Macaca fascicularis: one gene and its partners. The protein of the gene in region 1 purifies or fractionates together with the protein of each later gene. This does not show direct contact. Links are inferred from orthologs where the notes say so. Each region holds a gene or a part of one and is shown in the gene's direction. Other genes may lie near its edges. The genes, in order: RIPK1, CYLD and CHUK.

Region 1 (3,654 bases):
ATTCAACAGGGTAAGGCAGCTTAGCACTGTGCCTGCCGATGCACAGAATAAGTGCTCAGTAAATGGTAGCTGCTGTTATTGGCACTGTTATTATCACTGTTAACAAGAACACCTAGACAGCCTTGAGCGCTGGAAGGTACCTCAGAGACTGTCACAGCGGTTCCTTGCTAGGATTCCAAGGACCCCAGTTTCAGCAGCTTCATAAACACCCAGAACTACATACAGATGGTGTGTGCGTGCACATCCTATATTTCTTACACCTGTCTCTAGAGAGGGTCCCTAGTTTCCTTGGCTTCCTCAGAGAAAATGCAACAAATGAGCACGGTGCCTGGTCCAGAAGGCGGCCTATCTTAGGGTCAGGTGTGCTGACAAAGGTACCTGGAGCTGCTATTCATTTCCCTCCTCAGAACTGTCTTCTCGACCACCTTCTCTCTCCTACAAGGATATGCTAAGTGCTCTTTAGGGACAGTACCGACACTTGACAAATTCAGCTCAGCATGAATGTCACTGAACCCATGCCCGTACCAAGTCCCAGGCTAGCGAGTGTAAGGAATACAAAAACAAGTGGGTATGGTTGCTGCCCTCTCGGGACTCACATTCTAGTGGAGAAGTCAGACAGACCCAGCTCAGATACAGAGCGGCCCAGGGCAGAGTGCTGAGTCTAGGATTACAGTGCAGGCTCACGGAAGGAGGGGGAATTTGTGCTGGGCCTGTGGCAGAAAATCACAGATAGGGAGAAGCATGTCGGAAGGTCAACAGTCCAGGCAGAGGCAGGAGCACCATGTCAGCAGATCAGTGGGAAATCTGGTGGGACTGGAGTCTCTGGAGTGGAGAGAGGGCGGAGACAGTGAAAGGAAGATCAGAGACAGAGGGTAGGGCAGAGCTGTGGCTAGCTACTGAATACTGAACCTGAGAGGTTTGAGTTTATCAGGTAAAGGAGGAGGACCCTTCACAGATGTTCAGAGTCGTGGGATCCTGCTGGGAAGTGTGGCTGAGCTGTGCTGTGCTGTTCATCCACCTCTGATTTCTGACAGCCACATTTTTCTATGGTAAAATTCAAAAACATAAAATATACCATTTTAACCATTTTTACAGTGGCATTACCTAACATTCATGTTGTTATGCAACCATCACCACCATCCATCTATGTAACTGTTTTGATCTTGCAAAACTAAAATTCTGTATCCATTAAACACCAACTCCCCAGCTCCCCTCCCAGCCCCTGACAACCACCATTCTACTCTCCATTCCTGTGACTCTGACTCTAGGTACCTCATATGAGTGGAATCGTGCAGCATTTGTCTTTGTGGCTGGCTTCATTCACTTAGGAAAGGTCCTCAAGGTTCATGCATGTTGTAGCATGTGATGTGATTCCCTTCCTTTTCAAGGCTGACTATTCCATTGTGTAGCTAGGCCACAGTTGGGTTATCCACTCATCTGCTTATGGGTGCTTGGCTGATTTCCACCTTTCGGCTCTTGTGAATAACACTGCAATGAACACGTGGGTAGAAACATTTCTTAGAACCTGTTTTAGTTCTTTTGGGTATATACTCAGAAATGGAATTGCTGGATCATATGGTAATTCTATCTTTAATTTTTTTGAAGAATCACGATAACTCTTTTTTTTTTCTTTTGAGACAGAGTCTCGCTCTGTCGCCAGGCTGGAGTGCGGTGGCACAATCTCGGCTCGGCTCACTGCAAGCTCCGCCTTCTGGGTTCAAGTGATTCTCCTGCTTCAGCCTCCTGAGTAGCCGGGATTACAGGCACCCACCACCATGCCTGGCTAATTTTTGTATTTTTAGTACAGATGGGGTTTCACCATGTTGGCCAGGCTGGTCTTGAACTCCTGACCTCAGGTGATCCACCCACATCGGCCTCCCAAAGTGCTGGGATTACAGGCGTGAGCCACTGCGCCCGGCCCACTATACTGTTTATAGCAGTGGCTGCACCATTTCACATTCCCACCAGCAGTGCACAGGGGCTTCATTTCCTCCACATCTTTGTCAATATGTGTTATTTCTGTCTTTTTTTTTTTTTTTTAATTGTAGGCATCCTAATGGGTATGAGGTGGTTTAGCCAGATTTTAAAGAAGAATAGTTTGAACTGTGGCATAGGATAATGAACTTAATGTTTGGGGTAAAGCCCTGCTTGTTTGCCATGCTGTACTTTTTCTCTTGCTTTTGATCTAGAATTACTTACCTGTGTGTTTCTCTTTGTTCAGATGAATCTATAAAATATGCTATATACAATAGTACTGGCATTCAGATTGGAGCCTACAATTATATGGAGGTTGGTGGGACGAGTTCATCACTACTAGACAGCACAAATACGAACTTTAAAGAAGAGCCAGCTTCCAAGTACCAAGCTATCTTTGGTAAGATACCCTGGAGGGACCCCATGTCTAGCAACCTTGAACTTTCTTACTTGTGAGAAGGACATAGTGGAATCTTAAAATTTCTCTGATAATTCTTCTTGAAAGTTTTCTCATGTTACTTCTGCAAAATATCTTTGTAATTTCCATATAATTCCTTTGTAATTTATTTTATTATTATTTTTTTTTTCTGAGACGGAGTCTCGCTCTGTCGCCCAGGCTGGAGTGCAGTGGCGAGGTCTCGGCTCACTGCAAACTCTGCCTCCCGGGTTCACGCCATTCTCCTGCCTCAGCCTCCCAAGAAGCTGGGACTACAGGCGCCCGCCACAACGCCCGGCTAATTTTTTTTGTATTTTTAGTAGAGACGGGGTTTCACTGTGTTCGCCAAGATGGTCTCGATCTCCTGACCTCGTGATCCACCCGCCTTGGCCTCCCAAAGTGCTGGGATTACAGGCGTGAGCCACCGTGCCCGGCCAATTTATTTGTTTTTAATATGGAGATAATCACAGTATTTATGGATTTGTTGTGAAAATTAAATGAGTTGGTATGTATAAAAAGCTTAGAAGACTGCCTGACACATAGTAAGTTCTATAAAAAGTGTTAAACTTTCATCATTAGCATCATCAGTATTACTGGTCAGACCTGGAAGAAACAGCTGTGTCAGGCCCTCATCAAAGGAGATCCTGTACAAGATAGAAGACTGTGCCCTCCACAGCACTTCTGTAATAAAATCAAGAGGACTATCTCTTACAGGGTTCTACTGTGTAGGCCCATAATGCTAATCCCAAAGTACAGTCTGGAAAAAGTCATGAGGCCAAAACAACTTGATTAAGAACCCAGCTTTCTAATTAACCATGGGATTGGCTATTTTTTTTTTTTTTTTTTCTGTAAAGGAACCAGTAGGAAATGTTAGGCCCTGCTGTCTTTGAGGTCTCTCTTGGAACTACTCAACTCTCTTATTGTAGTGCAAAAGCAACCACAGACAATACACACGTGAATGAGCACGGCTGTGTTCCAATAAAAGTTTATTTACAAACACTGGCAGGGAGCCAGATGTGGCCCACAGGCCATAGTTTGCTTTTAAAATACCTAGAACAGAAATTCTGAATGGTCAAGGGCACCTGTGAGAATCTAATGAAACGCGGGATCTACCCCCTACAGAAATATTGACAAAATTTGGAAAGTATGTTGGGAAGTTCTTGGACTGCTGACAATCAACTGGTGGCAATACAAGCCACATTATGGAGGGCTGAGGAAAGAAGATAGGTTGAAAGGAAAAATGA
Region 2 (3,654 bases), on another chromosome or scaffold:
TTAAAAAGGCTCTAAGAATTTTTGTTAACTCAGATACGGGTTAGAAGAAGAATATTTTTTCCTCAATTATTACAATTTTCGCTCATTTAAAAGGAAATTGTACTTTAAGAATTATTTTGTGTGACATTGGAGCCTGGGAGACTTAGGATTAATTACAGGATATATAGGTAACAGTCTTTTTTGTGTTAACCTATAGATCTATATAGGATAGCTCAAACTTGCTACTCTCATTTAAATAGAAACAGACTAAAGATTTTCTTAAGATATGTCGTGTTAATTGTATTGTAGTATATCTTAAAGTTATAAAATGTACAGCTACCTACTTTAATTTGAAAAGGAAAATCAGTTTTTTTGTGGGTTCTGGAGAGCCCACTGCCCCCCACTGTGTGTGGCATGTCCTTGAATTAATACTGAGGCAAGGTAATGTCTTGAAATGGCTGTGGCATAGCTACACTTGCCCTCTTACATACAATAAATCCAATCTATAAGAAATAATAGTGCTTGATTTTTTCAAAGATACAAGGAATTTGATGACCAAAAATTCCAAAATGTTTAAAACTTAACTATTTTTAAACATAATTTGTGTATCGATTTATATATAGCATTTGAGGATTACCTTCTTTTAAAATAATAGGTTAAATTTGTGAACCAGTGGGTCTATCAAATGAAGCTGGGGAATGGTGATTTTGACATTTAAAAATAAGCTGTGGTACATGGAACAATGACTTAAAGCAGTTCATTTTTTTTAAATGAGTGGACCTTTCTTTTCACTTACTCCTGTTTCCCTCCTATATTGACTTTTGGGCTGAAGAATATTTTTAATATTGCCAAAATGGTTACCAAATTTTTAAAAGCTGAAGACAGTTAAAAAACATATTGTGTTTATATATATTTATTGGTTATGTAAACAGTTATTAACATCATATGCATATTAATTTCTCTACTAGAAAAACCTTTGATGCTATATTGACTTTATTTTTAAATGAAACTTTTCTTGTTCTATAGGATCTACCTCAGACCCTGGAAATAGAAACAGATCTGAATTATTTTATACCTTAAATGGGTCTTCTGTTGACTCACAACCACAATCCAAATCAAAAAATACATGGTACATTGATGAAGGTAATCTGTAATTTTAGTGCTCTTTATAATGATCCTTTCTTTTTAACTCATCAAATAAAAATGGCTTTTTATAGCAATATTTGTAGTTTTTGGGAACAGAGTAAGTAGACCACTCTTTGTAATATTGCTGAACTAAAATATTGTACACAGTTTGAACTGTACTGCTGTTAAGATTATTAAAATGTTTAAGAAATGGATTAGTAATTTGTTCTTTTCCTTTAACCGATCTATTTAGGGTGGAAGATTTCTGTCTGGTTCCTTCCTGACCTCTTTAAAGCACTCCCTTTTAAAAATTTTATCTTCCCTTGGTCCTGGGACATCATTTTCGTCTAGTTTATTCTTTTCTTTGTTCATTTGTTCAACAAATATTTATTGAGTGCTTATGATTGCCAGGCATTCTTTTAGGCATCAAGATGAAAATGGCGAGAAAAAGTAGACATGGTTCGTGCCCTTTGTGAGTTTGCAGTTAAGTTGTTGAGACAGAAATTAATCAAACAACCACAGACACAGAAGTAGAGTTGCCTTGGTGCTGTGTGCAGTGAAGGTGCGTGATGCTGTGAGAATACACCAAAGATGACTTTTCTCAGCGTCTTGGAGATGTTTCTTTGGGGCAGTGACACATGCTTAGGTTTACCAGAGGATTGACAGATGACAAAGTGAAAGGGGCCAGAACCTCCTCGGGAGAAGAAATAGCATATGGAAAGTGGAAGAATGGAAGCTAGTGTTTGCCAGGCACTGGAACAGAGAAACAGGCATGACACTCATGAGATGAGAATGGAAAGGCAAACAGGCCTTACTCTGTGGTCTCCCAGCCTTTAGAGTTTTGCCTGCCGCATTTGTCTTTAAGCCACCTGGAGCTGATTTTCGTATAGAGTATGAGTAGGATTCCAGTTTAATTTTTTTTAAACATATGGATAACCAGTTATCTCAACAGCATTTAGTAAGAAGTTCATTCTTCCCTCAATGATCTGCAGTACCTGCCTGTCAAATGTATTAGTCATTTTAAGGAAATAGCTTTTGGCCGTGGCTCTCTTTATCATGTGTTTGGTTTCTCTTAAATTACATTGTGTGTTTGTGTTTGTTCTGGCTTTGAACTTCTTATTGTATGTTTGTTTTCTCTCTTCTATTGTTTCTGTTCTTTAGTTTATTCTTCTCTACCTTTTTGGGGGTTATTCTGTTCTTTTAACTTCCCAAGTTGTATGCTGAGTTCATATTTAGCTTTTGTTTTTTTCTGAAATAAGCAATTAAGCCTATAAAATTCCCTTATAAGTATTAATTTAGCCATGTTCCGCAAGGATTCTTTCTTTCTTTGTTTCTTTTTCTCTTTTTTCTTTATTGTTAAAACTTATTATTTCTTTTTTGATCCATTAGTTATTTAGAAGCGTTTCTTAAGGTTTTTGGTATCTTTTTGTACTGCTTTCTCAATTAATTGTATTTTGGACAAAGACTATCACCTATACGATACCCAGTGATGAAGATTTTTTGGTTTGAACAATTGGGTGCCATTGACTGAGGTGCATAAATATGGAGGTGGAGGGAGAAGCGAGAACACTGTTGGAGATAGTAACTTTGTGCCTATGAGAGTACTATTAATAGCAGGGAGGTCAGGTGGGCGGTTGGACTATATCTGTATATTAAGTTTTAGAAATGGAAGACAGAGTCGATATCCTTGAATACATTTCTCTAATTAGGAATAATTTTTTAGTTGCAGAAGACCCTGCAAAATCTCTTACAGAGATATCTACAGACTTTGACCGTTCTTCACCACCACTCCAGCCTCCTCCTGTGAACTCACTGTCCACCGAGAACAGATTCCACTCTTTACCGTTCAGTCTCACAAAGATGCCTAATACCAATGGAAGTATTGGCCACAGTCCACTTTCTCTGTCAGCCCAGTCTGTGATGGAAGAGCTAAACACTGCACCCGTGCAAGAGAGTCCACCCTTGGCTATGCCTCCTGGGAACTCACATGGTCTAGAAGTGGGCTCACTGGCTGAAGTTAAGGAGAACCCTCCTTTCTACGGGGTAATCCGTTGGATCGGTCAGCCCCCAGGACTGAATGAAGTACTTGCTGGACTGGAACTGGTAATTTAACTTGACCCCAAAATTTCAATTTTTTTCTCTATGAGGTTTTATGCAGATTTCACCCTATTATATGCTTTTTGACAAACTGTTATATTTGTCAGAAAAGCTATCACTGCAGAAGAATTTTCTCACCATGTTGCCTGACTTCCCTTTGCCACCCCTGAGGCTTGCGACCCACTTGTCCTAATGTTAGTTGATTTACGTTCAAGGAATGAAAGTTGATTTTTAGGCCAATCGATTTAGGCTCCTTATATTAAACCAAATTTAGTAAATCAAACAAATTTGCCATCATCTTTTGTCTTTCTTCTTCAGCCACTTCCCCTGGTCAGTTCTAAGAATTATATCACTGGCTTTAAAATTAATCACCATTTTTAGAGATCTTTTGAGACCTTTGCTAGAGGGAAAGGTTTTCCCTTTAGAGATCAGGAGAACATATCGTTTGATATT
Region 3 (3,654 bases), on another chromosome or scaffold:
CCTTCAGATGCACTAAGGAAATGTAAAAAGACAGAGTTAAAATATGAGTAAATTGAAGGAGTCACTACCAGCATTTCTGTTTTCTTTTATAAAACAAATCCTTTTTAGGAAACAAATACTGCTTGTACACTTGTCCTGAGCAAAGTATGTGTATCTCAGAATAAACAATCAATAGTGTCCAGTTGGGTGAATGAATTTACTCTCCAGAACTGGTTTTATTAATAATATTGTTATTTTATCTCTATTTGTATATTATTGACATTCTGGCAAGTGATAAAATATAATTATTTCATTAAAATACCTTAGACTTGTCAAAGGCTTATTATACAATTGTTAAAGAAGAATGAGGTAGATCTGTATGTGCTTTATTAAAAGATCACCTGGGTCTTTAGTTGACAGAAAAGTTTTAAATTGTGGGAAAAAATAGAGAGTATACCAGTGGTTTCACTTGCGAGGGAGCAGGGTATGTGTCTGTGTAACAAATAATCATAGTAAGGTCCCTTGAGGTGGATGGTAGAAGGGAGGAAGACAGAGTCTTTTCTGTTTATATCCTTTTATAGTATTTAATTTTTAAAAATCACATTCAAGTATTAAATTTCTTTTCTGGCCAGGTGTGGTGACTCACGCCTGTAATCTCAACACTTTGGGAGGCCGAAGCTGGTGGATCCCTTGAGCTCAGGAGTTCAAGACTAACCTGGGCAATGTGGGGTAGAACCCCATCTCTACAAAAAATACAAAAATTAGCCGGGCATGGTGGTGCACACCTCAGCTATTCAGGAGGCTGAGGTGGGAGGATCACTTGAGCCCTGGAGATAGAGGTTGCGGTGAGCCGAGATCATGCCACTGCACTCCAGCCTGGGTGACAGAGTGAGACACTATCTCAAAAAAAAAAAAAAAATTGGTTTTTCCTTTATCCACCTATCTCCACACTGATATACATATTTTTTTTAAGAAAACAGTCGGCCGGGCACAGTGGCTCACGCCTGTAATCCCAGCACTTTGGGAGGCCGAGGCGGGTAGATCACGAGGTCAGGAGATCAAGACCATCCTGGCTAACATGGTGAAACCCCATCTCTACTAAAAAATACAAAAAATTAGCCAGGCATGGTGGTGGGCGCCTGTAGTCCCAGCTACTTGGGAGGCTGAGGCAGGAGAATGGTGTGAACCTGGGAGGCGGAGCTTGCAGTGAGCTGAGATTGCACCACTGCACTCCAGCCTGGGTGACAGTGAGACTCCATCTCCCCAAAAAAAAAAAAAGAAAGAAAGAAAACAGTCATCTGTATTCATTTCCTAAGGGTTCTATAACCTGTGTGGCTTCAGCAATAGAAACTTATTGTCTCACAGCCCTGGAGGCTAAAAGTCCAAAATCGAGGTGTTGGCAGGGCCATGTTTTCTCTGAAATCTGCAGAGAAGAATCTTTCCTTGTTTCTCTCTAGCTTCTTATGGTCTTATGGTCTGCCAGCCATCACTGGCATTCCTTGGCTTACAGTTGCAGCACCTTAATCTGTCTCCATTGTCACATAGCATTCTCCCCTGTGTATCTGTATCCTGTGTCTCGTCTCTTCTAAGTACACTGGTCATACTGGATTAAGAGCCCAGACCATTCCTGTATGAGTATTAATTTATCTAATTACTTCTGTAATGACCTTATTTCCAAATAGGTCACATTCTGAGATATTGGGGGTTAGGAATTCCACATATCTTTTGGGGGGCCACAATTCAACTCATAACACATCTTTGATGTTGATATGGCAAGGAGGCAGGCAGGCCAGTAATTAAAGATATGGCTATTTCTGAGATAACCAATTTAGACTTTTCTTTTAGCTTCAGAAAAAATGCTAAAAGCATGGAAAGAAATGGAAGAAAAGGCCATCCACTATGCTGAGGTAAAATCATTGACCACATTCTGTGTACTTATTAATTCTTGATGTCTCCATTAGAAACTGTCTTTGGTTTTGGTATATAAAGAGCATTTTTCATGTCATTCCCGAAATTCAGACAAAATTCTAGTAGATGCTTTGTATATAAAGAGGGAGGTATCATAGTGATTAAAAACAAGGGCTTTTTGAAAATTACCTAGTGCCTTACTAAGCTTCAGTTTCCTTTATTTATTTATTTATTTTTTGAGACAGGGTCACTGTGTTGCCCAGGTTGGAGTGCAGTGGCATGATCAAAGCTCACTGCAGCCTCAACTTCCCAGGCTCAAGCAAGTCCTCCCATCTTAGCCTCCTGTGTAGCTGGGACAAGAGGTGCACCACCATGCCTGGCTAATTTTTACATTTTATTAGTGACAGGGTCTCACTATATTGCCCAGACTTGCATCAAACTCCTGGGCTTAAGCAATCCTCCCACCTCAGCCTCCCATAGAGCTGGGATTACAGGCATGAGCCACCACATCCAGCTAGTTTCCATATTATGGGCACAATTTCTTTTCTAGTAGGGTTATGAAGATTAAATGGGAGTCAGTATTATTTTTGTGACTGGTTTAGATAGGATGGCTGCACATCTGGGTTTAGTGGGACTGTCCCAGTTTATACCTAATATCTTGCCATAATTATCAGTAGTAGTCCCTTTCACTCTCAAAATGACACTGGTTTGGACAATAAATTATATGGTGTCCCTAGGTATAGATCATTCTCTAGGTGGCAGATTTTCTTCCCCTTATCCTGTACATTTGTCCATGGTCCTAAGTTATTACACTCCTTAATGTCAGTACTTACCCTGAGGATGTGGGTGGGAATACCCATGGTGTCCTGGGGTGGGAAATCCAAGGTCTTTATCTTTTTGTGTCCCTATTCAAGGCAGTGGGGGCCAGGAGGCAATCAAAATCATAGAGCCAAGATACAAGTAATACCAGTGGTTTTGGTCTTTCTTATTAGTTGACACCTGTTGTACCTTTTTGCTTCTCCAGAGGTAAAAGCAAATACTAGTAGTTTACTGTTGTCAGGAGAGAAAAGAGAGAAGACTAAGAATAAGTGTGTTCTTATGTGAAGGATTAAGTGTCAGAATCTGAAGAATAGAAAGGCTTTAACAATATCAGTGTTTCATATTATATTATTTAGTTCTCTAATGAAGCAGCAGGTCATTCTGTATCCTTAAGATCTGAATTTTGTTTCCAATGATGTAGTGGTAAGCCTTTCATTTCCTTTGTATTTTCATCATATTTTAGGTTGGTGTCATTGGATACCTGGAGGATCAGATTATGTCTTTGCATGCTGAAATCATGGAGCTACAGAAGAGCCCCTATGGAAGACGTCAGGGAGACTTGATGGAATCTCTGTAAGGATGTACTTGTGTTGTTGGTCTTGACATCTGTTATATTTTGTAGCATATTGTTCTTTCTGCTTACATCTGGCAAATTAAACCTCTATGTGGTTCTTTTCTCTAGTTTTCCTTTCCCCAAATATATTGGGATTATCTTTAAAGTGGAAGCTTTTTCTTAGTCACAGGAAACTTCAGAAATAATTCTTTGGGTTGGCCTTTTTTGGTTTTGAATAAAAGCATTTATTTCATATGAGTGTTAAGAATTTTCCAAGTATAACTAAGTTACAAACTGTTTCCCTACTCATAGTACCTCTGGTCCAAGATATTGACTCTTAAATGCCCTAAAACTTGAGATTTTTTCTTAATTAAAGTTCTGGATTAAAAACTTCA

Evidence for each region.
Region 2: the proteins of RIPK1 (region 1) and CYLD purify together in Homo sapiens (affinity purification with western blotting; 5 studies listed by BioGRID). This does not show direct contact. The link is inferred for Macaca fascicularis from reciprocal best matches to the Homo sapiens genes RIPK1 and CYLD.
Region 3: the proteins of RIPK1 (region 1) and CHUK purify together in Homo sapiens (affinity purification with western blotting; 3 studies listed by BioGRID, with this or other methods). This does not show direct contact. The link is inferred for Macaca fascicularis from reciprocal best matches to the Homo sapiens genes RIPK1 and CHUK.

Annotation. Positions count from the first base shown.
Region 1 is NC_088378.1:169,961,161-169,964,814, reverse strand, and holds part of RIPK1 (receptor-interacting serine/threonine-protein kinase 1), read left to right. Parts: intron 1-2,221; coding exon 2,222-2,374; intron 2,375-3,654. UniProt on the Homo sapiens protein: Serine-threonine kinase which is a key regulator of TNF-mediated apoptosis, necroptosis and inflammatory pathways.
Region 2 is NC_088394.1:46,735,931-46,739,584, forward strand, and holds part of CYLD (ubiquitin carboxyl-terminal hydrolase CYLD), read left to right. Parts: intron 1-1,005; coding exon 1,006-1,122; intron 1,123-2,827; coding exon 2,828-3,207; intron 3,208-3,654. UniProt on the Homo sapiens protein: Deubiquitinase that specifically cleaves 'Lys-63'- and linear 'Met-1'-linked polyubiquitin chains and is involved in NF-kappa-B activation and TNF-alpha-induced necroptosis.
Region 3 is NC_088383.1:109,147,948-109,151,601, reverse strand, and holds part of CHUK (inhibitor of nuclear factor kappa-B kinase subunit alpha), read left to right. Parts: intron 1-1,824; coding exon 1,825-1,886; intron 1,887-3,169; coding exon 3,170-3,279; intron 3,280-3,654.